Linked DNA regions of Arabidopsis thaliana. The protein of the gene in region 2 interacts with the protein of the main gene of each other region in a pairwise test. Each region holds a gene or a part of one and is shown on either strand. Other genes may lie near its edges. The genes, in order: AT4G33905 and ABC4.

Region 1 (15,218 bases), on a different chromosome or scaffold from region 2:
TTTGACACCGAAGCTGATATTTGTGACTGTTCCTTGTTCATTATATATTCATCTGTCGTTTTCTTAACTTCTACTTCTAATACTTTGACAGTTTTTTTTTTTACAAATTTAAAAGATTTGAAATCGCTTAGAACCAATCATAGTAAATATGACAACTTTACTGAAATCTTCCCCAAATCATATTGTTTGTTTGTATTTTCTAAATATTAAAATAAAAAGCGAATATTGTGATTATTCCTAGTTTCATATCACTATTCAGAGCATTTTCGTGTTGTAACATTTTTAAATTTTGAGTTTGCTAGAAATTTTAGATGTATTAGATTTTTTTTTAAGAAAAAAAAATCAACGTCATTAATGTACTAAAATCAACTTTTCAGATTTATAGGTTATTTGAGAAAAATTATTCAGTTAAACTTAAAGTTTCCGCTACTTTAATCCATATAAAATGGGCCTGTAATATTCATCTGACTGAAATCTTCTTGCGGAAAAAAAAAAGAAGTCTTAAATCTTCTTTATGTCCATTTAAAGTGGGCCTGTAATATTCGGCCCACCATGTAATGAAAATGCGTTTCGTTTTGTTCCGCTCGGACCTATATAAACCAACTATGAGGGCCGTCGCATACGAAAATTGGGGTTTTCAATTTTATTTCGAGTGTTCGCTGTTGGTCCTCGTCTTCTAGCTTCGAGCTCTGAGAAATCGAAAATCATGGGTCACTCCAACGTCTGGAATTCTCATCCTAAAAAAATACGGACCTGGATCTTGCACCTGGTAATGTGCATGCAATAACCTCTGTTACTTATTGTGATCTGCCATATAGAATAAGTAGGAGCATGTTTTTTATAGTCATGGACTCATGGTTTGTGATGATTTTGAGGAATCTAATGGTAAGTTTGAAATCCATGGATTTTTGTAGCCGTGTGTGTGGAAACTCCCATGGATTAATCAGGAAGTATAGTCTTAATTGCTGTAGACAGTGCTTCCGTAGCAACGCCAAGGAAATCGGATTCATTAAGGTAAACATGTTGAATGATTGTCTTTTGTATCTCCATGAGAATGGTCCATGATGTTTTCTCACTCTCTTGGAAAGATGATTAACTCTTCTGGTTTTGTTTTCCTTTGTTTGCAGTACCGTTAAAGACCAATGGTGTTATGAGGAGCAATCATGTGAAACTTTCAAGCTTTAAAATTGTAATGGATTTATTTCGATAAGGCTTTTGAGCTGTTGAATCTTTTAGCTTTTTGTTTTAAACTCAATCTTGGTTCTCTACAAATGATTATCATATAGATTTGAGTTTCTACTATTTGAGATTTGTGTTGCTATTATCTATTACTCTGTTGATAGTTGCTTAAGAACCATATAACAACTGTTAAATCCTTCCACTAAGGGACCAAGTACTTTGGAATGGTGGTTTATTATAGATGACACTAGTGGCAATGTGAATCAAACAAAGATATAAGTATAGCTGTTCACAGTTAACGATGTACTTAACGATTTATCCACTTAACAAGACAAGTGACAAACAAATTAAAAGAGAGATCAATGAAGCAAAATTATCCAACGAATACAAAAGTTTAGTTTGAACCAGCAAAGTTATTGAGAAATCAGAAAACACTTCACTTAAGTTTACGCACGTGTGAGTTTGTCCAAAGTCCAACATGTTCTTTTACTTCTTAGTTTCTCTCACGTACGACGAAGACTTTCTCGTGGAAACACGGAGAACCAAAAAACAGAAGAGAAGCGATATGAAACGAAGAAACAAACAAGATCATCGTCCCTTTTGCCTTTAGGGCACAAAGGGGAAGCCTTTTTCACTGGGTATGTTTCTTCTCTAATGATCCATCTTCTTCTTCCCTCTTTCGATTCTCAATCTCACGAAATTACCTGTGACGCTTCGATCTCTTTCAATTTCTTCTTCGATTTCTCTATTCCTAGTTTATAATTGATTGCAATTTCGAAATCGTCCCAATTTTGATTATCGGAATCTGATTTTTCAGGTATGTGTTGAGAATTTGGGGTTTTTAGGTTTTTGGCTCAGAAGAGAGAATCTGGGATCTTAAAAATCGAAACTTTCTAGATGTGGTTTTAGTTCAACTTAGTTGTAGAAGATGGGATCAAATCAAGGTTCTTCCAGGTTAGATACGTTAGAGATTAAAGCTCTCATTTACCGGGAAATTGGGAATCAAAGAGCTGAGAGTTACTTCAATCAGCTCGGAAGATTCTTTGCCTTGAAGATCACCAAATCTGAATTCGACAAGTTGTGCATCAAGACCATTGGTAGACAAAACATCCATCTTCATAACCGTCTTATACGTTCCATCATCAAGAATGCTTGTATTGCCAAATCTCCACCATTTATAAAGAAAGGTGGGAGCTTTGTTAGATTTGGTAATGGGGATTCGAAGAAGAACAGTCAAATTCAGCCGCTTCATGGAGATTCTGCGTTTTCTCCTTCGACTCGTAAATGCAGGTCAAGGAAGTTGAGAGACAGGCCAAGTCCACTTGGTCCACTTGGGAAGCCTCATAGTTTAACTACGACGAATGAGGAGTCAATGTCAAAGGCACAAAGTGCTACTGAATTGTTGTCTCTAGGAAGTAGACCTCCCGTGGAAGTTGTGTCTGTGGAGGAAGGAGAAGAAGTTGAACAAATAGCAGGAGGAAGTCCAAGTGTTCAGAGCCGGTGTCCTCTCACTGCTCCGCTTGGTGTTTCTATGAGTCTTAGGAATGGAGCTACTAGAAAGTCTGTTTCCAATGTGTCTATGTGTAGCAGAAGTTTCAACCGCGAGACTTGTCAGAACAACGGTGAGCTACCTGATACAAGAACGCTGAGGAGTCGGTTGGAGAGGAGATTGGAGATGGAGGGGCTAAAGATAACTATGGACTCTGTTAGTCTTCTTAATAGCGGATTGGATGTGTTTATGAGAAGGCTGATTGAGCCTTGTTTGAGTTTGGCTAATACTCGATGTGGGACTGATCGGGTTAGAGAGATGAATTACCAGTATACACAGCAAAGCAGAAGGCTTTCATATGTATCGATGTCAGATTTTCGTGCTGGTATGGAGTTGAATACTGAGATACTTGGAGAAGATTGGCCTATGCATATGGAGAAGATCTGCTCCCGTGCTTCAGATAAGTAAAGAACAAACATCATAGGTTAGATACATAGCATTTGAGTTTTCTGGTTTGGTTTGCGCTGTTGAAAAAAGTTACTGGGATGGTCCAAGTTTCAATGGAAGAAGGTTTTGAAGAGAAGAAGGGTGGGTCTTCTTGATGTTGTACAAGTTCAGATAATAGAGTGAGATTTAAGTAAGAGTTTTTTTTGAAGTAAACGACATTTTGTTTAGCTGATTTGTTTTTCTCTCATGTGTATTTTTCCTTGTTTGCTCTCTGATGTAAACAAAGTTAATAATGAAAGCAAAAAAGGCTTCTTGAAAAGATTCGTGTGAATATTTCATTTGTCTGGTCAAAGTCACTAAATATTACATTGGAATGTTAAAACCCAAACTGAAGTAAAAAGCTTAAAACAAAAAGCGCAAGACATAATCATACTATGAGACATGTCCAAATGCCTCGAAGACAAACGATCAACTTATTTAAAAAAATGCATGGGTGATTGATTCAATTCACCAAACTGTTGCAGTAAGAGCATTCACTAATAAATCCACATGACGGTTTGGTCCACTGGATATAAACACATTGTCAAACCACTCAAGCGTTCCCCAAATTTCTCCATTTTGGCGTTTTTGAATCGCAATTTCCGCACACCAAATCTTTGTTTCGTCATCAACTAACACATACTCCTCCCAAGAAATCGCCAATTTTCCACAATGATCCGCCGATTTAAAATTTCTATAATAATTAGTAAAAGTAGGCAGTCCTTCCAAACCCTTCAAAGCTGCCCATTCTCTTTTCTTGAGGTCATACCAACGTACATCCCCAAGACTGCAACGGTAGAACACGTTCTCTATCACACAACAAGATGATGGATCCAGACTCCATCCATGATTCAGGCATATGTCTGCCCCTCTCCATTTACCTTTATGCATCTTGTAAGTGACATCTTTTTCCCTAGACCCTACATAGACGGTTCTTTGATAACTTATGCTTAAGTACTCAGAGCCTTTGCATACCTCCTCGCTAGGGATCTGTAAAAACTCCCAAGTTTGAGTCTTCGTATCAAAAATCTCCATCCAATTCATTGAATTGAGATTTTCGCAGCCTCCCGTAACATATATTCTCCCATCGAGGGTACAAGCAGATGGAAACACACGGGCCACCCGCATGCTTGGAGCTTCACGCCATGTGTGAGAACGAGAGTCCATAACCATAACGCTAGACAAAGCGTTATAAGTCTTTGATCCAGTTGCATTTATCGAAGCGTTTTTATTCTCTGATCCACCGCCAATGGCATATATCTCATGACCGACCACTACAAAACCCGGCAGGGCTGCGGAAGTAAAATTGGGAGATGAAATCGGGACCAAAACTTTTTTGGAGCTATTTGGTCCCTGGTAGATAATGAACCAATGTAGTTGTTCAGAATCGGTATGGAGTCGTACGCACACGTAAAGACAACTCTCCGTTCCGCCTAAGAGGATTCGGGTTTGGTAAAGCTCCTTTGAAGCAAGAAGAAAGCGAAATTTTTTGGAGACTAATGAGAGAGTTGGATAATGTAATCTTGAGACGCGAGCTAAGCAGTTAAATACCAAATCATCAGGAAGCATTAGAAATCTTTTAATCGAGGGTTCTTCTCCATATTCCATGGTTGTTGATCACTTTTTTTCTCTTACGGTTGTTGATAGAGAGCGGAAGCTAAATATCGGACGAGAACACAAGATCTCTAGGAGAACTCGGATTTACAAACGGATCTTGCTTAGAACGTCAAAACTTGATGAAGAAGCAATAGAGATAAAGTCGAGATCGGTAGTGATATCGACTTGGTTTTGCAAGCCCTTAGGGTTGAGAGTCCTCCTCTCTAGGCTTTATAGAAAGCTCTCTTAAAACTCTTTATTCAATAATCCAAAACTAATCTATTCTACAACGTAAGGATTCTTTAAATAAGAATCAGAAACAAAGACCCTAATTCTAAAAAGAAGTTAAAAGCCAAACACGTAAAGCCCACATCTTTAATAAAGTCCATAAACTACTAAATCATGAATGAGAAACAATAAAGAGGCTTGGTCACGACGAGGCCCATCAAAGGCGTGAACAAAGCAAAGATGCGCTGCATCAGTTGCTTATTAAGTAAGAACTTGCTTTTTTTAACAAAACAAAAAAAAGTAAGAAATTGTTTTTTGCATAAGCTTCTTTTTGTCTCGACTATTCTTGTCTATATTGTTTATATATAGATTCCTAATCTCATTGGGAGTTTTTCAACGTGTTTGGAAGTATAGTAAGTTTCTAATTTTCTATAACAAAACGTATATTCTCTTCACTTGAAGAATTTACTGATATTCAAAAAAAGAACTAGAAGAATTTACTTTTTTTTTTTATCATTCCTTTTTACTAAATTGTTTTGTTTTGTTCTTTGTGTGCTCTTTCTTCTGGTACAGATATATATGCGGACCTACGTACAAGAAAGGACCCTAAATTTCTAAAATTTTACTTACTGTTATGAGAAAACAATACATTTGGCATATCAATTTTTTTTGTTACAAGCTGTCGCACTGCTACCTGCTACCCTACCAATCTGGGACGCGTATAAGATTGAGAACAAAAACCATATTTTAGCATACATAGCATTTGGTTTGACTCCGTTGGTCTCGTGTAAATTTTCCGTCTTTGTTAACCGTACTGATGTAACTAAGGATTAATATAAAAGACTTGTGTCAACAGTTTCCTTTGCCTGGTAAAGACTCAAAAAGTTGATCGAAGCTAAAGAACCACCATTTTACTCAAATATTACATGGAATACTAAACATAGAATTGAATTAAATCTAAGAGTGTAAGACATGTCCAAATGCACAGTTTTCCCCAAAACTCCTTACATTATATCCTCCTAAAATCTGGAGAGAGGAAACAAAGAATGTTGAAGAATGCCCTGTTTCTTTTAGTAAAAGTGTTTTTTGGCTTCATTTCTTCATTTCTAAACTGAGAGAGTTTCCCAGAGAGCTTTTTCAAATTTCAATGGCGGTTGGCGTCGCACGGCTTGCCATATAAGTTATGTAGATTGTCCATAGATACGAAAACGAGTTGCTCACAAGTGGCTGCAGACAAAAAGAAACCAGACTTCAGTTGATAACCAAAACTCACGATAAGACAAAATGAATGCAGCAAATATATGATCTGTCTTGAACAAAAGGTTAACCAAAGTGAAGCTAAGTTGGAAATAAAGTGGTAGGTATCAATCATACATACCTGTAAATAAACAGGGCAGAACTTGAAAGTAATAAAATCACACAAAGGCCAATACATGACACCATTAAGCATTGTGGGAAGTAGGTCCCTTTTCAATCTAGCAACTATCTCTGAACCATTTTCACCTGAAAAAATAATTGAAAATCAGACTTTGATGTCATCAAGAATAGCTTAGGATCAAATTCTAACAACAATTCTCCTCTCTTCAAACGCCATTTAGAGAAAGAATGTAACATCAAACAACCTGCTCTATAACAACCCTTAAGATTGAAGGTCAACAGGATCTAGAGTTTCAGAAAAATCATACTTTTATATGTTGCTCAAAGAAGAATATATAGACTATAAGAAAGGAACCAGTTGATTATTTTTCATGTACAGCTGAAAGCTTACCCTGTAGGGCTGCATTCAGTGAGAAGAAAACAACATTCATGGCAGGCCCATAGACTGTCTGTCCCATGGCCATTTTCTTAAACGTTGTGATCAAATCTCGTTTTGGGAAGAGACTTGACATGAGATTGAACCAATAGTGAAGTGTAGGACCCAAGATTAATAACCCATATCCTCCCATCCTTGCTGTTCTTACCAAGTCATAAGAATCCACTGAAGCTTGTGGAATTGTCTGTTGAAAGATCAAACAAGTCACACTTTTGTCAACAACAATACAAGAACAAAGAAACGTAAGCAAATATAACAACTCAATTCACATAAAACCCGCTACTACATCCACATTACTAAGAATCGATCATTACTTCTTAATCTAGAAGTAATTCTTGTCCTATCTCAAATCTCTAAAGCACAATGGAGATACAGTGACTTCTACTATTACCATTTGTTAGAAAACACAATGGAATCTTAGGACTGAATCAACAAGAACATAATCACAGAATATCTAAAATCTGATTTGTAGGCTTACAAAACAAAAATGAGATAGATTTTTGAAATTACCTGCGAAGACAAATCGGCTGCTATGTAAATAAGCGAGGACGTGACGGATTTGGTAAGAACCGGCCGAGATTTCACCATTCCCAAATACCATCCGATGAATCCTGCTGTAGAGACCGTCGAAGAAGACGAAGACGAAGACGAACAGAAACCAGAGACACCTGTTTCCTTTGCTTTCCCGAGAAACTGAGGCGTACGATAAAAAGGCCTCGACTGCAATCGCTGGATGTTTCCTCCTATCGGTAAAGGGTCGAGCTTTCCAAAAGGATTCGTCATCGTTGCTCGCTGTAATCGAAAGATCCGAGCGGCGTCGGAAGCAGCGTTTCTAAACAATGCGCCGGTCATTGTCGTGTGATGGCTCCGAGAGTTTTGGGGGTTCAGGGAAGGGTTTTATATATAACGGCGGTGGAGAAGAAGAAACAGAGCTCTGTTTTTTTAAAAAGTTTAAATGCCAATAAATAATGAAACACACAATTTGTATATTTCGCGAGTATAAAGGTTTTTCTACTCGCGTCTCGTACCATTGCAATCGTTCTTCATAAATTAGTTTTGTTCTTAATAAATTAATTAATCATGCCTTTTCTAGATACAGAATTGTCGAGATCTTTCCTAATAACCGAAGTTTTTGTGAAAGCTATAGTGTTACTTAGCACATTGATTATATATAAGCCAACAAATTGATTATTATTTATTATTAGCTAATCACTCAATAAACTCAAAAGCCAAGCCAAATTATTGGAGAAAATAACCTTTCCAATTTCTATGTTAGGCGGAGGAAAGAGTGCCTGAAGGCTGAAGAGCGCGTGACCGTCAAAGGTGGACGGTTCAAAAACCAAACATCCCCAAACTGTTTCTGTTCTGTAGTGTTCTAGGGTTGTTTACACGTCCTGTTCACATTGGTTAGTGTCGACGTCATCACTTCTGACACGTAAAACTTAATTCAGTGACGCTAACCTTTAGTAGAAGCCACGTGTTGCGTTCGTGTCCCAAGTTCCGACTTTTAGCCACTTTTTATGAACTCTTTTATTTTTATATATTTAGTCAAAAAGAACGTAGATCATTGGAAGAGAAGATTCTCTTATTTTCTGTCGGCAATTTTTCGAAGATTCTAAACCAAACTAAACGTAGATGATGTCACACACACAAAAAAAAACAAAAATTATTATCGGTATCACTCATGACTCATGTGTCCACAAAAACTCGAATAAAAAGATGGTCCCTGGTGTGTAAGCTCAGATACATTTTTTATATATATAACATGGACAAAATAATTTTCCATTTAATAGATACAAATACAATCATACAACACATTTTGTTAAGTTATAAGGGAAAAAATTAGTACACATTGCAAATTAACAAGAGACTTGACGGACTCAAACGAGCAGTAAATACTCAATACCAAGTAATCAGAACACCCAAATCGATCCACACTTGTCATCACTTCTGTGTTAATCTTATAAGTTCTTATATTTCTTTTACTGAAATATCAAACAACAAGAAACTTCTATTGTTCAAATGATATTTCGAACCAAGTTTTCATTATCAGGTTTTAATTTTTGTATCATTCGCATTATAAGAAAGCTAAATAGTTACACTGTTTCAGCGAAGAACTGTACACGAGGGATCCAGCAGCAGATTTTTAGTCAAAAGATAGAAGCTGTGAGACTGAGATAGATATATGGAAAAAAACCTAACTTATTCTTCCTGGTCTTGGTCTCTGATCCATTTGGTTGCCACCCATTTCTCTCCTTTGGTCACCGGGCAGCTCCCGTGAAGCGAAGTCTGCAGAAGCATTGGAACCACAGCAAAGAGCTCCTATTAGCATGAACTAATCCAAGGAATAGGAGTCAAGAGAAGAAATGAAATGTGTTCAAACTTTGTTTACCTGATCAATCGTTCCATTTGGAAACACGGAATAAAAAAGAAGACCATCTCCTTTCCGAGGCTTTACTTTCAACCCAATACATTGCTTGTAATCGTATCCGATGCCCATATTAGAACCGTTCTGTTAAATAGAAAGCGTTTAAATGGAATCAAAACTAACGAAAGGGTCTGTATAATAAGTAAGCAAATAATATATTATAAACTGACCTCAAATGGGAACATGGTTTCACCGCCTTCTTCAACATCAGATAAGTACAACAGGAAGGAGGCAATCTGCGTAAATTCAAATGAGGTCTCGGGTTCTAAAGAAAGCTATAAATATGACAGATTTAAGGATTTTACCCTTTGGCTTGATTGTGGTCCATATTCTGTTGGGTTGAAAACATCATAGTGGGAATCATACTTTTGGCCAAGTTCATACCGTAAAATATTGAATGACTGCCAAAAACATCAAATCTCGTACAATTAAAGGGGTGATAAGCACTAAACCAAAGGCCATCAAGCCTACGTTTGCCACTTTCAACATGCCTTAGTTTTACGATTCACATAGATTTGGGAAGTAGAGAATCATACCTCTCCATGGGACCTTGGGATCATCGTAGCTCTTGCGATTTTCCTTTCAACAAAATCCAGAGCACCAGTACTCTCTTCTGAAGCACTGATAAAAGTTCCTGAGCTGTATAACAACAACACACCAGGCAAAAACACTGAGGCTACTGATGAATGTTCGAAACATGAAACTAGAAAGAAAGAAAGACCTTGTTCTAGTGCCCTTAGTGTTCTCAGCAGTTTCTCCTTTCCGGAGAGCCAAAGCAGAAGGTTTCAGATTAACCTTTGCTCTCTCAATAATAGCTTGGCATTGTTCTGCAGTTGCAAAATTCGGAAAATATATAGCCCTAGGTCTCCAACTAAGTACCTGCCAATTTTAAACCAAATAATCCATAAAGATGAAGTACTAAATTTCACTAGTTGACTAATTGCTAAAAAACACAATACTCTCACTCACACTCATGGTCACCACACATGAACAAAAAAACAAAGTTCAATTAGATAATCAAATGCACAATCTTGCCCTAACTAATCGATTTCACCTAATTTGCCAATCCAAACATCTTAAAAGTCAAAAAATTAGCAACAAAATCAGACCTGAAAAGGAATCGATCCAATAGATTCTTCTCCAGTAACACCATGAGGCATCGAGCTAGCTTCTTCTTCCCCATTCTCAACCATATCCAACATTCTCAACCTGGGTTTAACACGAGGCACATTCTGATCCCAAACATAGAACCCTCGATTAGTCACAAAACCAAGCTAAAGACTCCAATCACATCTAAAGAGTACAGAGTAAAAGATCAGAGAGTTTCCACACCTGAGAAAGTAGAGTGGAGCCATAGAAACCGAAGAGGAAACAGAGAGAACAGAAGACGATAACTGTGGCTAACCCTAGCTTCTTCCTCCTGTAGCTCTTCAATCTGCTCTTCATCGAGCCTTCTTCCTTCCGATCAGATTAAGTTTCCGATGGAAATCTTCGCCGGCGTAAACGATCAGATAAGTTTCCGATGAAAATCTTCGCCGGCGTAACGAACCTCAATATCGGGACGCCTTTCGTCGATCCAATGAAGCACCACAAATTTCTATTTACTTTAAAATATATTGTTTTATAGTTTAATGATCAGATCTCGTTGACCAGTTTGTCATTTTCTTCACTGGTCAACAAATACAAAAAAATGCGCCGAATTTATCCTTTTTTTTGGTTGAAGTTTGGTTGCGTAGAGTGGTTTAAGTTTTGGTTCGATGGAACTTGAACGTTTTTGTGATTTGAATTAGGTGGGCTTCTTTTGAGTTGTTTTGCTTCATTCAGGCTGTCGATAATGACTTGGAATCGATCTTAGAATGTAAGGTGGATATGTAGTCCAACATTGAATTGTGTTTATGGTTAAAAAGTAAAGAATGATTATTTATTAATTATATACAGTCAAATTAGAGAGTCTTAAGCCGAGATCAATACATTATCCAACGAAATTTCAAATGAGTTTATTTTCTTAACTAATAGTCTATATTCTTGCAACTTCTTTTTGATAACCAAATAAAATGTGTAACCATTCTACAAATGATTTTCATATAGAGATTTGAGTTTAGAAAAGAATAAGCAAGAAGAAGATTCAAGTAGCCTTTGTGTCGAGAAGAAGGTTCAAGGAGCTCTCTTTGTGGGCTATAGAACTGTTGTTTAAGAAAGAAGGTGACTCATTTAATGTTTGGTTCTTGGGGTTCACAGAGCATTGTTCACTGAAGAGAGATGTGATACTAGAGAGATTCTTAGTGAGCATTGACAGAAATAATAGTAGTACTAATTAAGTTTTTTTTTGTTTGATGAATCTTGTATGCATCGGTATAATATGAGTGGATATGCAAATGTTAAAAAAAATAAAATGAATGGATCTATATATGTTGAAAATCACCCTATGATCCATAACAACGATAAATACGCATCCATAATGTTATAAATGTAAAGGTAAACATCATGATCAAAAAAGTTCGACAACTTGGGCCAATGAATTTCCAGTTGCTTCCGCGTATATATATAAGTCCTTCCACGTCAATTTCTTAATCCCAAAATGCAAACCTTTTTATAACAACCAAATAAAAATGTGCCACTTGTAATTAAATATAAATTACTCCATAAGCAATAATATTCATCGTTTTAATAGTATGCTCTAGAACACAGCACACAAAGATTTGTTTTGACCAGAACATGTTTTTTTTCTTATACCGGAAACGGTAACGTGATAATAAAATTAGGTTAATAATAATATAGATACTAAGATGACTAGATTATTAGCAAGAAATTGTATTCAGTTGTTATCCGTCTTTCTTAGTTGACAAGCAAATATATCAGCTACACGTTGGCTACAGGTTACTCATCCTTACCCATTCATTATTCGCTCATTATAACAATTTCCCACTGATATATTCAAATACAAAATATATAAGACACAAAATAGAATTAATTTATTGCTATTTGCAGACGATGTAAACATTTTTGTAGACATGAACAATTTAATTGATTCTTTACTCATCGTAGACATGAATTTATATTTCAAAAGGGTCTACTATTTCTAAATAATATTCAAACATTGACTCTGTAAATCACATATAAATAAATATATATATTATACACTACATTAATATAATATCTCCTATTTCAAAAAGAAATAAAAGTAGCTGTTGAATTTAGATATTTTTTTGTTGGACCGAATCAGAATTTAAGTTTTTGAATTGTTCCAGAAGAAAGATATTTTAGTATAATATACGGCAATGACGTTTATGTTTGGGCCAAAACTTTGTCTATTTATTGAGAAAAATAAAGCTAAATGGAGAAGAATAACAAAAATAAACAACGCGTTGAAAAAAACTGCAAAAAAAAAGAGAAGGGGGAGGGCGAAATTAAAACAAAACGACGCGTAGTCTACGTAGCCTTCTAAGAAACGGCACAAGTACAAGTCATCTCTATCAATATTCTTCTTCTTCTTCCTCACGCGGTTTTCTTTTACCACCACCAACTCAACACACACACGAATCCCTTAAAACCGATCAGATCAAACAAAAACGAACGAATCAAAATTCAATAAAAAAAAACCTTTCGATTTCTCTCATCCAATCGAATCGAAAATCTTGTTATCTCTTTCTCTCTAACTCTACTGCACTCAGAATCTCTCTGTATAGAAAAACCCTAAGTAGGTTGTGATGTTGCGAGCTTTAGCACGGCCTCTCGAACGGTGTTTGGGAAGCAGAGCTAGTGGTGATGGTTTACTCTGGCAATCGGAATTGAGACCTCACGCTGGCGGTGATTATTCGATCGCGGTGGTTCAAGCCAATTCCAGGCTTGAAGATCAGAGTCAGGTTTTCACATCTTCTTCTGCTACTTACGTCGGTGTATACGATGGTCATGGTGGACCTGAAGCTTCTAGATTCGTTAACAGACATCTCTTTCCTTATATGCACAGTAAGTTATAATCCCACTCTTCCTTCCCTAAACTTGTTTTAGGATTCTTTCTTCTTTTGACTCTTTGACTACGTTTTTGATGGTCAAAACTTATGAGATCTCTATTACCCTGATCATTTCAATATTAAAAGATTCGAATTTTGCTATGAAGTTTTGGTCTTTGTGAACATGTTCAGGTTTGTAAATTGCCTCTTGAATTGATTTTGTAGTCATGTTCTTGTTAGTGAAATTTACAGGATTGGTTTTATGATTGCAGAATTTGCAAGAGAACATGGGGGATTATCTGTAGATGTTATCAAAAAGGCATTCAAAGAAACAGAAGAAGAGTTTTGTGGTATGGTTAAACGATCCCTTCCCATGAAACCGCAAATGGCTACTGTAGGATCTTGCTGTCTTGTTGGTGCAATCTCTAATGACACACTGTATGTTGCTAATCTTGGGGACTCGAGAGCCGTTCTTGGAAGCGTTGTTTCAGGGGTTGATAGTAATAAAGGTGCCGTAGCTGAACGGTTATCTACTGATCATAATGTTGCTGTTGAAGAAGTGAGAAAGGAGGTTAAGGCACTTAACCCTGATGACTCACAAATCGTCTTATACACACGTGGAGTTTGGCGGATTAAAGGCATTATTCAGGTATAACTTAGTTTTGCTTGCCTGCTTGTTAAATTGCGTGTGATTACATAGCATCTGTGATGAAGTTATAATATTTAAAAGGTGTAATCTGATGTTGTTTTTTCTTTTCTCTTTTCATTTATATAAATGGGGGCTTGCAATGTTCCAGGAATCCGTCACACGGGCTCCTGCAACGTTTCTTCCCCAGTGGATTTTGTGCTTTTCTAAGAATTCCCGGTAGTCAGAGCTATACATAATAATGAAGATACATGCTTTTTAGTTGCTTGTGACCTTTCCGTGAATGTTTGAGCTCGTTGTATATTAGTTAGCTAAATCGTTTTCATATACGCTTCTTTATAGGTATCGAGATCAATTGGGGATGTATACTTGAAAAAACCGGAGTATTACAGGGACCCGATTTTCCAGCGACATGGAAATCCCATTCCTTTGAGGAGACCCGCGATGACAGCCGAACCCTCCATTATAGTAAGGAAGCTTAAGCCACAGGACTTGTTTCTGATATTTGCATCAGATGGTCTCTGGGAACATCTTAGTGATGAAACAGCCGTAGAAATCGTCCTCAAACACCCAAGAACTGTAAGTTTTCCCTAAACTCAAGTTTGCTTTGTATCTTCACATTTATGTTAGCTACTTAGTTTATTTATTTATTAACTCTGTGTTCTACAGGGTATTGCCCGAAGACTTGTAAGAGCTGCTCTGGAAGAAGCGGCAAAGAAGAGAGAAATGAGATATGGAGATATAAAGAAAATAGCCAAAGGAATTCGACGACATTTCCATGACGACATAAGCGTTATTGTAGTTTATCTAGATCAAAACAAAACCAGTTCATCGAATAGTAAATTGGTGAAGCAAGGAGGTATCACCGCTCCACCGGATATCTACTCATTACACTCTGATGAAGCAGAGCAACGACGGTTACTCAATGTGTTATACTGACTGTTTGATTATGGTAAAATGGCTGCTTGGGAAAGATCCGAATAGGGAGAAAACTTGTTTACATATTTGTTTATTTGTTTTTCTACGAAGAACTGGTTTTTTTTTTTTTTCAATATTGGAGTTGGATTTGTATATTCTTTTACCAGCAAAGAAGGTCGAAACCCTTTAGTTTTTGGGCAAAGCAGTTTTGCTTTTGACACAAACAATACTTTTGTATGAAAATCTAGTGTGAAACCGTTGAGGACAACTCTTCATATATCAGATTGTTTTTTTTTATGACCTTGTATGGAGAGATTAGTATATTGAATTATTTGTCTATAATAACTAAATAAAAACATTATCGATCACAAACCAAAATAAGCCAACAAAATTCCAGATGTTGCCTAAATTTTGGAAAATATGCATGACAGACATTCGAAACTTCAGATCCAAATCAAACCGAAATTGAAATTTGTCAAATATCT
Region 2 (16,425 bases):
ACATACAAATACATATATACTCACTTATATATGACAATAATATAGGCATATGATGCACCATAGAGTGGGGCTACGTGAAAATGAGGTGGTTTTTTTTTAATGTATACATATAGGGATAAACATTTTTGTATAGATGTGTTTGTTGATGTGCCATCGTGGTGATCAGATAAGTGTCTTATGGTCTCTATATTTACTATAGGATATTGAATTATCACGAATTCGTTTCATCATGTGTAAATTATCTTCATTTACAAGTGTGTTGAGTGACTTTTTTGAGTTAAATATACACCTTATCATTATTTTTGAATCATAAATTTAATTCATAATATAAGAACTTTGAACAGAATGGTTATAAAGTTAGTTTTTTTTTTTAGTACGGACCAATAAACTTTAAAATATTTACATGTTACAAACCAGTTGCGGTTTTCTAGCACTCTATAATCAGACCAACAATTACAGAATTTTTGCAATTTATCAGTGATGAAAAATGTAAGAAATCTATACGTGCAATTTGCCATTTGCATCGATAGATTTTTTTTTTTCATTTAAAGAAATGTTTTTCGTTGATGAAAATATTGTATCTAATGTTTAACTAGATTAAGAATATTATTGATTTAAACCTTTTAATATGTTAACTTAAAGGAAAAAAAACTGCATGTTTCCATTCAATTTGCTTTCATCGTAAAATGTGTCTATTAAGACCCTATTAGTTGATATTCAATGAATCCAAAGTTATTTTCTTTTAATGATGAGCTCACCTTGACAGTTTCTTAAGAGGTAATTTTGTCGTATTTAGTTTCTTCCAAGAGAAACATTGCACACCTGCATATATATGTAATATATATGTGTGTGTGCATGTAAAAATGGATGAGACATGTGATTGGGTCTATATTTTTGTCAATGGGCAGTTGATTATAACATCTCTTTTAGTGATCACATGCACCACTTCACGGGCTTTGCTATTGTCTCCACAACTCCTCCAACTTTTCTTTTAAAAACTTTTCTTATCTTCTTTCTTTGTCTTATATGAAAATGCATATTTAACAGTTCTTCTTTTCTTTTTTTTTCTTGTCGCACTTAATAATTCATTAGTTATGATGTGAAGAAATCAACCTTCTAAATAAGTTGTATTAAATCGCAAGTCACGATTTCTCTCTATCTCTATTTCTCGCACTTGCACGCTGTCGAATGCTGAGAAGTGATTGGAAGAAACAATTTTTACAAGTTTCTCACTTCTCGTGAGTACATTTCGATATATATGATCTTGTATCCTAGAATCTCTACTTAAATAGCTTAGTTCTCTTATATTGAAGGTTGGCTATGTTACATAACAAGTTGTCTAGTGATTACGGAGTTCGCTCGTTTCTGCTCCTAGGCATGGTAGGCAAATGCCAATGGTCCAATATTAGTTTTGAAAAATCTTAAGAAAAAAGGCCCAAAGTTTTCATTTTTTTCTTTGACTAAGAGAGTTTAATTTTTGTTTGGTTTTGCTATATGTCTCACCGTCTCAGTATATATTGAGATGGGCGGGAGATTGCTTTTCGCAAGGTTGGTTGCGAGTTTGAAATCCACATGTCACTTCATGATTGATGAATATATGATAACTGAAAATTACCATCAACACACACATAATCAAAAAATATTTGGTTGATATTTGACAAAAAGAGAGTATAAATCAAATAATATATCTATTATATATGCAAAAGAGATAAAAAAAAAAATTTAGCTATTTATACCCGTATACTTATTAAAGAAAAAGGTTGGCTTAGTAGTTTGTTCTATATTTAATTTGTGAGAATCTGTATTATAATTTTGTAGTTAATTAGCTCTTCAAAATATAAGATCATATATCCAGAAGTTGATAATTATATGATAAAGATTATGACTGGCGAATCATGATATGGAAAGAGATGAAAGTAATTTCTCACATCTCTATTATACAGAATAATGTTTTCAAAAAATTATACTTTTATTTGTGGGACTAGAAAATTTCCTCCCTTGCATTCCAACCAAATAGAAAAGTAATTTATGATTCAATGTTGCAAATTGTAAAAGAAATTCTATTATACTGATAACATTTTAGAGTATACATTCTATAATAAATTTAGATGTAACCATAAATTTAAATAAATGTATGGAAGCACATTAAATATGATACAGAAACGTTTCTGGTGACAAAAGACGACACAAACGCTATTGATAGAAACGATCACCAGTTATATCATATGATTAAACACTATACTAATAATTAAGAAGAATATAAAAAATTGAACTTTAGTCCATGTGTGTGAATATGAGTGAGGGGAGAGATCCCATGGGCATTATGACAAATTTGTGTGTGTCTGTATATGTACACAAATCAAGATGCTTTCATAACTTTCTAATGTTCTTGTCATAAAATGTTCCTTTCTCATTAAATTCATAAAATGTCACTGTTCATTGCTACACGAGACGTATTAGTAATTAAGTATAAGAAACAATAACCCTTTTCATTTCATTTATTCTTGAAGGATCTTGAAGAATCGGGAGTTTTTGTCATAAAACCATTTACTATCCCTGTTTTTTTCTTCAATAATACCACCACAATCTGCATATGTTTGATAAATTTATTGGTTAGCTATATTTTTAATAAATATATAGGTTAGTTTTGTCGTGCAACCATTTAGTACGTAGCACTGGCTTTTCTTGAAACAGAGAAGTATTTCCACCACCACAATGCATATGTTCAAAATTCAATGAAATTCCAAGTAGATTGTTTTTAGCTAGATGTAGATATGAGACACGGATTTTACTGTGAGCTATATTTAATTAGTGATGATCGTTTCTATCAATAGCGTTTGTGTTTTCTTTCATAGCTAGATTATATTGATTGGTTATCTTCATTTTTTGTGTGGAATTAATTGAATTTTCGTTCCACACTCCTAATTGGTGGTTTCATTGAAAGTTGATAAAAAAGATAATAATTGGATAATATATAAAGGAATACAATATTATTACAAGCCCTCCTTTGACTTCAGAGCTCGACTCTTTGTGGTATTGGGCAATCTTCTTGATCATGTGAAAAATATATGTGGACCGTACCTCTTTCTTGATACGCCAAAAGAAGTAATCTGTTATATATGCCAATATGTGTTACCTGTCTTCGAGGTTTTCATATAAATTCCAACATTTATAGTAATATATTCTATCTATGCGTATATGATAAACTACACGTAACTGCATGTGTGCACATTTGTTGATATACACGGTGTATACTTTATTATCGTTTATACCAAAAAGAAAAAAAAAAAACAATCATCACTTCACCGTTTATTGTTTTGCTCTAAATTAATTAATAGTTTTCTATGTATTTTTTAACAGAATCTTTATTTCACAACTTTCAAAAAGATGTATAGTTTGTGATAAAAATAATGTATTATAACTTAATTTATAACAGTTTTTTGTTTAGGTATTATAATAGTTTGGATATTAAAATTTACAAACTTAATTAATAGTTGGAGTCTTTTTATTTATTTATTATCATTCATTTTAAAACATCAAATTATAAAGTAATAAAACTATAACTTTAACAACAAAAAAAAGTAATAAAACTATACGAATACGAGACATAGAAACGATAATCTGCAGATTTTTTTCTTTTTCATGTGGCTATTATTTTTCTGACTTTCTGGGAGACTTTATTTAATTGTCTTTTGTTTTCTCGTATGGTTTTACAAAATTAAGTACACTGCGTTCTTATATTTCTATATGCCGTCTTTTAACTAAGACATTCTCGTGATTATTTATTTATTTGTTGTGTTTCGTTTTTATTCTAACTTTCCCGTGAGACGTGAAGTGAAGTCCATTGTCTATTCGTTGGTTGGAGAATGACCATGCGTCCATGCCCTTAATTTGTTCCATCTTCACTTTCTGTATAATCAGTTTATTTTGGTTTGATAAATGTCCTGATCCAGCCAAATCATTGATGTCCAATTCCTGGTAAAAGATCTAATAAGTTCAACATTGGAGCATGATTAAGACTAATATTTAAAAATAACTGTGTCATACAATATATATATGAAGGATGTATTAATATATGTGCATGTACATTTCTTTGATACATGTAATTGATTAGGTTAATCATATACATCCAATTTGACGGAGATAAAAAATCATAAAACATGCCATCCCATTATAGTATAGGCACCCATAAATTATACTAGCTATTTTATTGATTTTATATTTGATTGTATATATGATTTCAACTATATTAATATTACTTCTTATATCTGATATCAAAGATATATTCTCATATTTATTTCAGTCATACTAGCAATATTCCACTATATCCTTAAACCAACAAGGTTAGTGGTGCTACACAAAAAATTTTGAGGATACATTTTTCAATACAATGTTATTTTTATAGGATCTTGAAAGTCCTTTGCCGAAGACGCCGAAAAGAGATTAGTGAGCTACCAAATAGATATGGTTTATATCACTCTGAACCAAAAACAAAAAATCGCATTAGAGGAAAATATATGAACAGAAACAATTTGAAAATTTACAAAAATAGTTTATTTTTGAAGGCTGGTAATTTATTGCTAGTCTAAATTTTTATATTGAAAACTATGGAAGTATGTTTTACCTACTGTGACGGTAGGTAGGAAAAACGAATGGTGGTAAGCTTTGAAATGTGTCAGCAATGATAGATTGGGTTTGCTGGTTGCTAGATGTAGCAAAAAATTGGTGAGTCGGCGCAGTAGAACAATCCTGTACAAATATAGTTTAAAAATTGAAACAAGTATATATAGACTATATAGAGGAACACCTTTTGTATGAATAATTTGCTTAGAAGGCTGATAAGTTAAAACTATTCAAAAATAATCTACCTTGCTTGTATAGAAAACTATAGAACTTTACTTTACCTATTGTAATTGGTTATAAATCGTGTCACATGAACTAAATGTTATCAATAACTTCATATCAGTCTCCAATGAGTCAAAGTTAATAACATCATTGTTGATATGCTTCGAATCTTACCATAATTCACTTTTCCTCATATACATGTAAAACATAATTACTTAGTCTTCTATACAAGAAGTTTATATTAGTTTTGAATTACCAACCTTCAAAAGCAAACTATTGAACAATTGTCTCTATTCATTTATTCTCCTCTAATGACACTTTTTGATTTCTTGTAGATTGATCCTCCTTTAAGAGGTTAATTTTTGTTACCAAATTTTGTATTGACCAATATGTCTTTTGCGATTTTGTGTTAGACTTGTACAAATTGACAATTTTGATACTTTTGGTTTTTTGAACGATTTTGATATTCTTTGTATATTCTTTAGTTTTTTAATGTTTAGTTAGAATAATTAGAAGATGACACATATATATATATATAAAACAACAATATATACATTTCGTTAAGATTTTTAATGTTTTATATTAGTACTATATAAGTAATATTGAGATCCAAGTAATATATAATAATTTGTTGAGAAAATTAATAAAATGTAAAAAGCTTAAGAAAAATTACTAGCTTGTGGATTCTTTAGAGGATGTGAAAAGATTAGAATGAACTAGGCTTCTCGGCCATGAAGGTAATTCATAAAGCAACAACAGATCACGAGGAATCAAATTGCAATCAACAATGTCCACAATCTTCAACTTGGTCAATACCGTCAACTCATTACCATCAAAGTTATTAGAGCACACATAAAGCCTAATATATTATCATTTGAGCAGCCCATCTAAACCCGCTAATGATTTTGCTATAAAACCTAATAACATAGGCTGAATAGGCTTCTCAAATGATAATATTTTGGGGTTTTATGTGTTCTCTAATATAAATCTGGATCTCACCTTCTAATGATTTTCTTAAATGCACATGGGATCCAACTTCAGTGGTTTGGGATGGATTCAAGAATTGGAGAAAGGTCCATATCGAGAAACAATTATGTCCTACAAACACAAGCATAACCTCTTTGTTGGGCCATCTTGTGTGTTGGAAATCTGAATTACCTAACACAAACGCCGTCAACGGGCTTGCACTAAATCCGACATGGCCCATGTTTCAACATATCCATGGTGGCACCCGTCACTTTAACAATTGAGGATACAATCGCTCACCATGCTTGTGATTAATTTGAGACCTTTCACAACTGTTGTAAGTTCGAATGTTTCCTTTTAGCTACAGCATACTGTAGTGGCTAAACGTTTAGGTAGATACAACGAAGGCTAAAGAGAGAAACAAATGTTTGGTGACTGATTTCTAGCGCGCGATAACTAGCCCCAACGACAATGCGGCTCCAAGCAAGGCGTGGAGTCTCACACAGTAATACTTGGCCATGAATATCTTCCCATTATCCTGCATTAAAAGAATAGATTAGCAAAACTTTGAGTATTACAAATTTCAATTCTAAATATCTTACCTTGTGGTGCTTTTCAACGTAGCTTGAAACCAAATTCCCAACTGGTAATGTCAGGAAGCACATCAACTGAAACACCAACAACAAAAAGGAGGTTTTAATATATGTTCTTATATTTCAGTCATGTTCTCAAATCTGTTAACTTACGGTGCAAGGTAGTGGCAAAATCCTGGTTAAACCAAGAACAAGAAGCATTGAATATAGTAAACGAATAGTCCATCTCACAACAAAAGCTCCTTTTTCAGTCCCTAACCGAACCTGTGTCAACCAAAAAAAAACTCTAATCATAAACACAATCACCATATTCATATTAAACCTTGTTGAGTTTTTTTCACATTTGTACCAGAGGTGAATATTTCCCCACAGCTAAATCTCCATCCACCTATAGAATGTAAATGTAGTCAGTACTGTGTTTGTCATTTCAGGACTCATTAGACCACTTTTTCATTAACCAACCTGATGAAAGTGGCTGCAGAAAAGGATAAGAGATGTAGTAAAACCAACAAGGACAGATGATGAAAGGACCCTACCGCTTAGCGGAAGATGCCTCATCTCGCTGCCAAAACCGATTAACAAGCTTCCATTATTAACACCTCATGGAAACACGAATGGATTAGGCTTAAAACAAAATTTTGATATTACCTTGAGCTACCAAGAAGTAGATAAAAAGCAGTAGTAGCAAATGGACCAAATGCTGCAAAGCATAGAGGCTCTCCTAATCCTTGGTAACTTAACCGAAATGGCGGACACTAGTCACAAAGTATTACTCTAAGTTAGAAATCTCCTAGATTAGTATCAAATTGTCATCTAGGAAGTAACGTTCACCTGGTATACGTAGCCACAGAGTATTGCTGAGGCTAGCAATAGTATTGCACGGATATTACTTGCATTTAACGATGTCCAAACTAGACCAGAAACACCAAGCGCTAGCGATGTGATTGCAGCGGCTAAGGTTCCTGTCCGGCTTTTCCAAGTAAAACACAGTTTATTAGGATGGAACTCAAAAACATAAACTTCAAAGTTGCAAACTCTATCCTTTGATAATACTTTACCTTCCAACCAGATTTACTACTGATTCCATTTTGTTCTTATCAGCTCCGGTATCAAAATCATAAACATCATTGCTGCAAACATAAAACCATGTTTGGAAAGAGTAAATACATGAAAGAGTAAATACAGTCAACGAAAATGTTAAAAGGAATCAATCAATTAATCACCTTAGGTTGAGCCAAGTAATGATAAGAATTGATGAGAGCAATAGAGTAACATAACGTCTAGCTAAGAACAAACCCGTCTCTAAATAGGCCGCTGAAGCGCCAACCTGTGTGACATTTGAACAGTGAATATTCCCTAGCAGATAAAGGCAATGGAGGACATAGAAAGGTTTCTTGAGGAAACATACGGTAAGAGGAACTAAAGCGACAGAGTACATTGGTAGTTTGATTGCTCTCCATATCAATTTTGCTCTGGGAATCTCCTCTTCTTGGTAAACCTTTGCTGCATCTCCATAACTCTTACAAAAGATTGGCCTAACTCTAAGGTTTCTTCTTGGTTTAGCATTCAGATTCTCTCGTGCATTCGAACCAAACACCGGTAATCTAGTGATTACATCTCCTCTGCTGGGAAGCTAAGCTAAGTAATTTTAGTGACAGTACAAAGTAGATTATTGTCAAAGAACAAAGCTTTGGATGAAGTGCTAAGCCTACCTTGTGAATTTTCCGTTTCACAAACAAATCAGTTGAATTTTTGGGCACAAACCCATACTTTATGTCACAGAGAGAAACAAAATTCACCATTTTCAGGTTTCTGCATAAAACAAAAGAAAGAATTTCAGTTAACAGAGGAAGAACACTACTTCCGAGTTAAAGTCCGAGATTCTGGAACCCTATAACTAAAATCTTTGTTCTGGCATGAATCAGAGACAATGGAAAATGAGTAAGATGAAGTAAAAAAAGTATGAAGTTTGGAACTTTACCTTTTTTAACACGAATCTTTCGAAGAGAGTTAGCGACGGAAGTGGAGTCAGATCAAAACCACGACGTGATCATAACAAAATTCACTTGAGGAAAAATATTTCAACTTGGCTCGTCTACAACGAGATTTTCATGAACCCACGAATCTGGAATCTTAATTTGGAGAAGATAACGCACACAGAAGTACAGAACAAACTCATTGAACCTTATACAAAAACTGAGAGAAAAGTGCCCGAATTATGCCAATAAACAGGCAAAATTGAGTGACCAGAATCAGAATCAGAGGATTTGTGAAGGAATCTATGCAATGCAAATGTTGGGATTTCGTTATTCAGACAAGAATTTGAATGTTGGGTTTTGCGGAAGAGACGTGAATGATGAAGTGGATAACAGAAGCTCCCTCGTTGGAAGATAAAATCACGTGAGGTTCACGTGTCTTTGACCAATTTTAAATACAAGTAGAAAGGTGGGCCTTTAAGGCCCATTACTTTCGAGCCTTTGAGGGTTTGGTTGGTACAAACTACTACAAGTAAACTAGATTTGCATGATTTACAAATTAAACAATGTTGACATAATTTATAATTAAACCAAATTAATATTAATGCCAAAAATTAATATTCAGATGGGGAAATTAACTGCGTCTTTTTTATTTTTGCAAACGTAATATGATGTATATTAATATCAACTTTATTAGTATTTTTCTAACGGAAATATTGATCAAAATCCTTTACATTAAAAAAATATTGTTTTAGTACATAAATAACCTTACTTGGGAAACAAGTTTTGCAGCAAAAATATTAAGAAGAAAAAAATCAGCCAAAACAAGTTTAATAATTTCTTCTAACAATGTAATCCACAGCTTGACATATCGCACACGACACGGAACTCAATTATTATCTCGTGTTCAAAGAACGGCTGCTTAATAACTACGAAATAGCAGAATCATGCTATATAGGTTTAATGGCAAAAGCAAAGAAAGACTCGACCAAGTTTTCATTCATCACCACCATCACATACAAATATGTTCATCCACCATTTACTTTTCAAGAGTATGAAGACAACTCAGAAGAAGAAGACCTGAACGCTAGAAGTTTTCAAAGACTGGCAAACAGGACAAACACCAGTAAACACATCACAATCTTTACACAAACTCAAGTGCCTACATGGCACGAGCAAGACCGAAACATTCTTTACGTTACACAACTTACATCTCATCCCAGTACTTGGCATCCCCGGGATGTTCAAGTAATTGTAAGAAGCTGCTTCGTCATCAATCTCACTATCCCCAAACCCTTCTTTCATTTGATGATGATCAGCAACTCCTCCTCCTACTGCATTGTTGTCGTTTCCATGTGACATCACTTGTTGCAAATTTACCTTTAAGGCATTAACCACAGATTCATTGTATTTTGCTTTGTAATGCCAGTTCTGAGCTTCCACTGCCACTTGTTTTATCTTATCCACGAGTTCCCGGTTCTTCTTGTTCATGCTTTCAATCTCATGGTCTTTCTCTTGAAGCTTCTTACTCACATCCTTCTCTAAGGCCGTGACAAAGGACGTGACATGTCTCTGTTTAATATCTCTCACACCTTTCGCCATTTGATCTGCCTGTTCCAAGAGAGAACAATTTCAACGACATGGGATATGTAAGCAAAAACATACGCTTTGTAGATAAAATTAATACCCGGAATTTGATAAACTGATCAAGCTCGTCGTTCTGTCTATTGAGGTCCAATCTGATATTGTCACCGAGTGACTGATAGACTGGAGTTGTTATGCTTCCATTTGCTGAAGTTACAGAAGAGTTGCGCTCATCATCATCATAAGATAGTCTCAGACCAGTTGACACTAAGTTCTGCTTTGGGACTTCATCTTGAACAACAGTATTATTGTTGTTGTAGTTATAATTCAAAGAGATCTGCAGCTTCTGCTGTCTCTGCATAATATTGTTGTTTTCAGTTTCCCTTCCGCGTGTGCTATTAAGCCGCATCATAGGAGCAAGGTTATCATTAGCAAAGTAGTTTACAGGATCAATAGTACAACCAGCTCTCACTGCAACCACATACAAAGGAACAAGCTTTTAGCTCTATAAAGTTCTAACAACATTCAAACCAAATGAATAACAAAATTCAGAAACTTACTCGTCCCAAGCAAGTGAAGCTGATTCAACGATGTGTTTGATTGATACCGAAACTGGCTGTCGTTCATTAGAACCTGCGGCACAGGGTTATCATTGTTGCCTCCCAACATCTTCTCTAGAGCTTAACCGTTTTATGTGTATATATATACCCGTAAAGAACTGAAACAGAAAAATTACAGTAAGAAACCTGTAGACATACGAAACTAATTAGTTGTAAGATATGAAAGCTCAAATATCTTCAGCTTTTGACATGACGAGCCAAGATGTAATAAGATTTAACTGTCCTAAGCAATACAGATTACAATCCAACTAGAGACAAAGTTGAGATCTTTGAGGAAACTATGGTTCATGATCAACTCCTATGTGATGAACTTTCTTTGATCTTGCCTAGGAACCAAATTTAGAGATCATGGTCAAAGATTCATCTGAATATTAAACCAAGTAACAAAAAACAGGCAAAATAAATTATTATGTCAAAAGTGATAAAATAAGGCAAACCTCTGGAACATGGAAGAAAGATAGCAACTCCAAAGAACAAGACATAACCTAAAGATCTTGTAAGAGAGAAGCTAAGAGAAGATTTGTACCTGTTAGAGATTGCCCATAAAAAAAAATAAACCGTAGCTTCCTTCAGATCCTACAAACCTAAAAGAAATCATTATCACAGGCTCACAGCGATCCAAGTTTGCTTATTTGCATCAATTAAAGTTTAAAAAACAAAAAAAACTGTAAAATTAAGAAGTCGAAGAGAAGCTAAATCAATCAATGAATGATTCAGAATCTTAAGAAGAAGAAGATGGGTTTTGATGATAGAAACGCTTTGAAACAATAAAATCCAATAATTTAATTCAAAGATTTTAAATTTAAGGAGAAAGAAGAATAAAAGAAACGGATGGGAAAAAAGAAAGAATGAAATGAATGATGGAAAGGTGAGAAATCAGCAGAGGACAGGACACAGTTGTGAAGGAGTGGGAGGAGTTGGGTGGCAAAGTCGAGATATTAAAAACAAAACAAAAACTTGAAAAATAGACTCGAAAATAATACTAACATTTTTTTTTTGGGAGATGATGATAACAAGAATAGTAATAGTAACCGGTGGCGGTGGTATTGGTTCTGCTGATTTCCCCGTGAGTTGTGCCTTCTCTCTGGTGTGACGCCATTTTACTCTACTTTTCTCCATTTTCCCTCTGTCCTTTTTCTCCTTTTCTATTTTTTTCTTCCTGACCAGTTCAATTCTTCTTCTTCTTTTTTTAAATAAAGAAGAGTTCAAACTTTTAAAATGGGCAACACTAATTTGTTTGCTAATTTACGATAGGGACCCAATGTATGGTCGTCCGGTTTAGTCTTTTTGTTTTTTATTAGACTAAACTAAATTTGAAATCACATGTGGTTTGTTATTTATCTACTTTCGTGTTTGAGTTGATTGGAACTAGTTTTGGTTTTAGTTTTGTTTAGTTTCTTGGCTCATTCTTCTGGTTATCTTGGTATGCTATAATAAAAAAAATACTGGAGTGAGAACCTTCACCATTATGGGTTTGAACTGCCATAACTAAATTTGGAGAATATGATTATTCAGATCGGGTTTGTTTAGAAATCGACATTTCTACTTATATTTGGAAAAGTTATATAGTAGAAAATCAAACAAAATGTCGAATGTTATATTTCTCGTTTCATGATTTTCTATATATCTCATTTGTTTAATTATAAGACAGATTGTTTAGTTCGTTCTTTTCGTTTACTGTTTTCTCAAATTTGTTTTGTAGATTTTTTTTCCATATTCGGCGACCAATCATATAATTATCTTTTAACTAATATGTGGTTAATTAAAAAATAAAAAAATGTCGATTTGGTTCGGACTTAAGATTAGAATTTCGGTTTGGTGGTAACGAAAATTTTAAAAGTCAGAAATCAACCAAACTCCGGTTGGACGGTTCAGCCGCTTCGGTTCGGACTTAAGCCATGCCGCTATTAGAAAAATGGATGTTTTTTTTTCTAGTATTCACACGTGTCCATAAACCCTAATTTTCCAGTTTTATGAAATTGAAGAACGAAATTGAAGTGAAAAGTGAAATCGTGCAATTTTCATCTTCCTCTTCTCCTTAAACCCTGATTTCGGATTCTCACAATCGAACTTGGCTGCAGAGAAGGATGGGGACTAACGAAGTAACAAGGATTGTGACTGATGAAGAAAAGAGAGAAGCGAAGAACTTCAACATATTTGATCTCCCTGACGTTCCTACCGGACTTCCTCCGCATCTTGAGCTCCAGCGAACTCGCGTTGTCTGTAAGAAGGATTCTAATATTCATGTAAGTACTATTCTCGATCAAAATTTACACTCTTTTTAAGCTATGTATAAGTTCAGCTAACTAGAAATTTATTGGCTTTTCTCAGTGTGTCCCATGTGGGTTTGCTATGTTCATCGATTTCGTGTAGATTTACAGAGTAAAGTTTAAAACTTGCTTGTAGAAAGCTGTGAATTTACTGAGTTTGGTCTTAGCAATTTAAGAAGATTACACTGTGGGTTTGTCGAAATCCGAATGATATTGAGTGATGATTGTTTGAAATTTGAAGTCTTTAATGTTCTTCCCTTTCTTTTTGTGTTTTATTGTAGCCTACGGCTATCACTTTCTCGGGTGCCTATTCCTCTATGGGAGTGGACAACAGTGTGAGACTAGAAAACTTCTCTGAGGATTTCAAAGTTGATGTGATTAGTCTCACAGAGACAGATATGGTATTCGATATGATCGGTGTCCATGCAGGAATCGCTAATGCTTTCCGAAGAATCCTCTTAGCTGAGGTCTGCCCACTGTCTCACTACCTCTGATGAATCTCTGATTATTAGAATCTTTGGTTAATAGTGTTTCTTTGATTACAGCTTCCTTCAATGGCTATTGAAAAAGTGTATGTAGCAAACAACACATCGGTTATTCAAGACGAAGTTCTTGCTCACAGGTTGGGTCTTATTCCAATTGCCGCAGATCCGAGACTCTTTGAATATTTATCTGGTAAGAAATATTCTGTGGAATGTGATCCATCTCATTAAGCATATAAACTCTTTGTGTCACGCTTAGTTTTGTTGTTGTTTATCTTTGTGTCATAGAAAACGATCAGCCAAATGAAAAGAACACCATTGTTTTCAAACTCCATGTGAAATGTCTAAAAGGTGACCCGCGTCGTAAAGGTAATATATGTTCTTTGGTTTGCTCAAGAAGAGTCTTTGTTTTATTGTTAGCTCGAGATCTCATGAGAGGTATCATTTTTTTATTTCTTGAAGTCTTAACAAGCGAATTGAAATGGTTACCAAATGGAAGTGAGCTTATCAAAGAATCTGGAGGTTCAACCACAACGCCAAAAACTTACACTTCATTCAACCATAGCCAAGATTCCTTCCCTGAATTTGCTGAAAATCCTATCAGGCCAACCTTAAAAGATATCTTGATAGCAAAACTTGGCCCTGGCCAGGTACTGTTTCTATTTATACTCTTCCCCTTAATTGTGACATTTTTGAGGACTTAATTCCGTTGAGAGATGAAAGACTTGCATCTTCTTCTTGCAGGAAATCGAGCTTGAGGCTCATGCCGTTAAGGGCATTGGTAAAACACATGCAAAGTGGTCCCCAGTAGCAACGGCTTGGTATCGAATGCTTCCTGAGGTGAGAAGTTCACCATAAGCCTTCTGGGAAAAGGACTTAATTAATTTCTTCTTGACTCGTCCTAGGCTTTTCCGGTAATGCTTTTTGTTTATAATATCTTAGGTGGTTCTACTAAAGGAATTCGAGGGTAAACATGCCGAAGAACTCGTAAAAGTCTGCCCCAAGAAAGTTTTTGACATTGAAGACATGGGCCAAGGTGAAGTAAAAGCCTTCCCAAGTTTCCTTCAAATGTCTTTACTTGCTTTTGAGTAACAATAAGAGATTCTGATGAAACCTGAGAACTTTGGCGGCAAATTAATTTGACTTGCAAACGTGGAAAACAGGTAGGAAGAGGGCAACAGTAGCTCGGCCGCGTGATTGTTCGTTGTGTAGAGAATGCATAAGAGATGGAGTGGAATGGGAGGACCAAGTGGATCTGCGCCGTGTCAAGAACCATTTTATATGTAAGAAAAGAAAAAGAAAAACACAGTTCCTTCAACCTGGCAATTCCATGGTACTGAAAGAGATTCTAATTGAGTTTCTTATCATCTTTCGCAGTTACAATTGAGTCCACGGGATCACAGCCTCCGGAGGTTCTTTTCAACGAAGCAGTGAAGATATTGGAAGATAAATGTGAAAGAGTAATCTCTGAACTCTCCTGAAAAGAGATTAAATTGGTTTAGCTCTACCGGCTTGGTTCCGGTTTAGTTCAGTTTTGGGTTTTGTATCGAAGTTAATACAAAGAACATTGAAATTTATATATACTTGGTTTCGGCTCGGTTCAAATTTAGAATATACATGTGAACGTTGAAGAGTAGATGGATGTACGTACGTACACATTCATCAAGCACTGAACAGAGTGAAGAAACAACAGAACAGATCAATTTTTACAACAACGAAACAAACAAACACTAACGACAACACAGATATTCACGAAAGTCTTGTTGTGGCCGATAAATTTGCTGCCATGCTAGAAACCAACCGAACATATTAACCGAAAAAACTGTAAATGACATATAAATAGCCACGAAACTCTATCAGCACATACATTATGCACTGGCCGTCTTTTTTTTAGAATCATCCTTCTCATTATAAATCAAAGAAACACAAATTAATAATTAATCACGTATTCAAACTACAAAAATATAATAACACAGAAAAATATCAAGAAGTTTCAATTACATTGTTTTTGTTTTCTCAAAAAACAATGGCTGCACACAAAAAGAGTCATATCCGCATTTTCTTTGTTTCAGTAATGATTATATTATCATTGTTCAGCGGATTTGGAGAAGGACAAACATATATAAACTATAATGGTATGAAAGGAGACATAATTCCAGGTTGCAGCAGTAAGAATCCCAAAGAATGTGTCAAAATTCCAGCATACTCTTACAATCGTGGTTGTGAAATCTCTACACGTTGTCAACGTCAACAGCATTCGAGTTCGAGTTAATTGATGTATGATATGTTTAAATCATTTTCGAATATGAAGTTTTTTATTATTAAAGTGATATTACTAACTCAAATTTTAATTATGGTAAGGTTCTTTCCATTTTTCTTTGTAACCTGGATTTATTTATTATATGTTTTAATAATTGATTTCTTTACCCCTACGATTAAAGCCCAAGTTAAGTGTATCTTTCCCCCAAATAGTTTAATTGGAAGCCCTAATTTAGGAAGGAAATTTCTGCTTTTGCTTTAGACGCAAGGAGCTGTTTAGGGTTTTGGTGGGGAAACAAGATTTGTCCAGATGTTAAGAGGAAATAATGTGCATATGAACTAGGTCATAACTTATACGATCATTTTAGAGACAGTGCTAGTGAAATATGAGCTCATAGTGAATGTCGCGGTCTAAGGAAAATATATTTGTAACTGTGAAAGAGGGCATGTAAGCCTCTCCTTATTTAAAGAGACTCAGTTTTGTTAAGCAACCCATTGTGATCATGTAATTATGGGTATTATCCAATTTAGGAAGCATATATTATATTTTGAACCCCTAGCTACTTCAAAAACCAAAACAATAGAGAAAGCTACAACAACTTGAATCAGATGCTCATATGATCCTCCCTTGGCAAGCTCTGAATCGTATCCGACCATCTCCCAGGCGAATGATCACTGCTGTTAAATGAGAAAAGAGCTGCTTCAGCCCTTGCATCTTTCACCATCTTCAATACCTCTCTCATCGCAGGACGGTTTTCCGGCTTAACAGCCACGCAAGCTGTCGCGATGGTCAAAAGAGCTTGAAGTTTCTCCTCAGAAGCATTCAGCTC

Evidence for each region.
Region 1: the proteins of ABC4 (region 2) and AT4G33905 interact in a two-hybrid assay, tested with the Arabidopsis thaliana proteins (one large-scale study listed by BioGRID).

What each region holds. Positions count from the first base shown.
Region 1 is NC_003075.7:16,247,950-16,263,167, forward strand, and holds AT4G33905 (Peroxisomal membrane 22 kDa (Mpv17/PMP22) family protein), read right to left. Parts: upstream 7,812-15,218; 5' UTR 7,644-7,811; coding exon 7,302-7,643; intron 6,976-7,301; coding exon 6,747-6,975; intron 6,482-6,746; coding exon 6,357-6,481; intron 6,206-6,356; coding exon 6,116-6,205; 3' UTR 5,803-6,115; downstream 1-5,802. Other genes in the region: AT4G33885 (uncharacterized protein), read left to right, coding at 707-769, 915-956; AT4G33890 (transcriptional regulator of RNA polII, SAGA, subunit), read left to right, coding at 2,108-3,136; AT4G33900 (Galactose oxidase/kelch repeat superfamily protein), read right to left, coding at 3,623-4,762; AT4G33910 (2-oxoglutarate (2OG) and Fe(II)-dependent oxygenase superfamily protein), read right to left, coding at 8,994-9,080, 9,184-9,303, 9,390-9,455, 9,525-9,620, 9,756-9,858, 9,941-10,098, 10,329-10,451, 10,552-10,665; AT4G33920 (Protein phosphatase 2C family protein), read left to right, coding at 12,927-13,185, 13,442-13,818, 14,158-14,394, 14,485-14,754.
Region 2 is NC_003070.9:22,318,554-22,334,978, forward strand, and holds ABC4 (UbiA prenyltransferase family protein), read right to left. Parts: upstream 8,807-16,425; 5' UTR 8,386-8,806; intron 8,217-8,385; 5' UTR 8,207-8,216; coding exon 8,117-8,206; intron 8,038-8,116; coding exon 7,813-8,037; intron 7,732-7,812; coding exon 7,628-7,731; intron 7,535-7,627; coding exon 7,463-7,534; intron 7,375-7,462; coding exon 7,236-7,374; intron 7,160-7,235; coding exon 7,053-7,159; intron 6,967-7,052; coding exon 6,867-6,966; intron 6,793-6,866; coding exon 6,754-6,792; intron 6,669-6,753; coding exon 6,558-6,668; intron 6,480-6,557; coding exon 6,414-6,479; intron 6,350-6,413; coding exon 6,254-6,349; 3' UTR 5,884-6,253; downstream 1-5,883. Other genes in the region: AT1G60610 (SBP (S-ribonuclease binding protein) family protein), read right to left, coding at 9,446-9,991, 10,068-10,435, 10,525-10,633; RPAC43 (RNA polymerase I subunit 43), read left to right, coding at 12,672-12,830, 13,136-13,321, 13,400-13,529, 13,625-13,705, 13,799-13,986, 14,081-14,176, 14,279-14,372, 14,500-14,619 and 1 more; RALFL6 (RALF-like 6), read left to right, coding at 15,363-15,608; AT1G60630 (Leucine-rich repeat protein kinase family protein), read right to left, coding at 16,201-16,425. UniProt on the Arabidopsis thaliana protein: Involved in the synthesis of phylloquinone (vitamin K1). Catalyzes the transfer of a prenyl chain to 2-carboxy-1,4-naphthoquinone.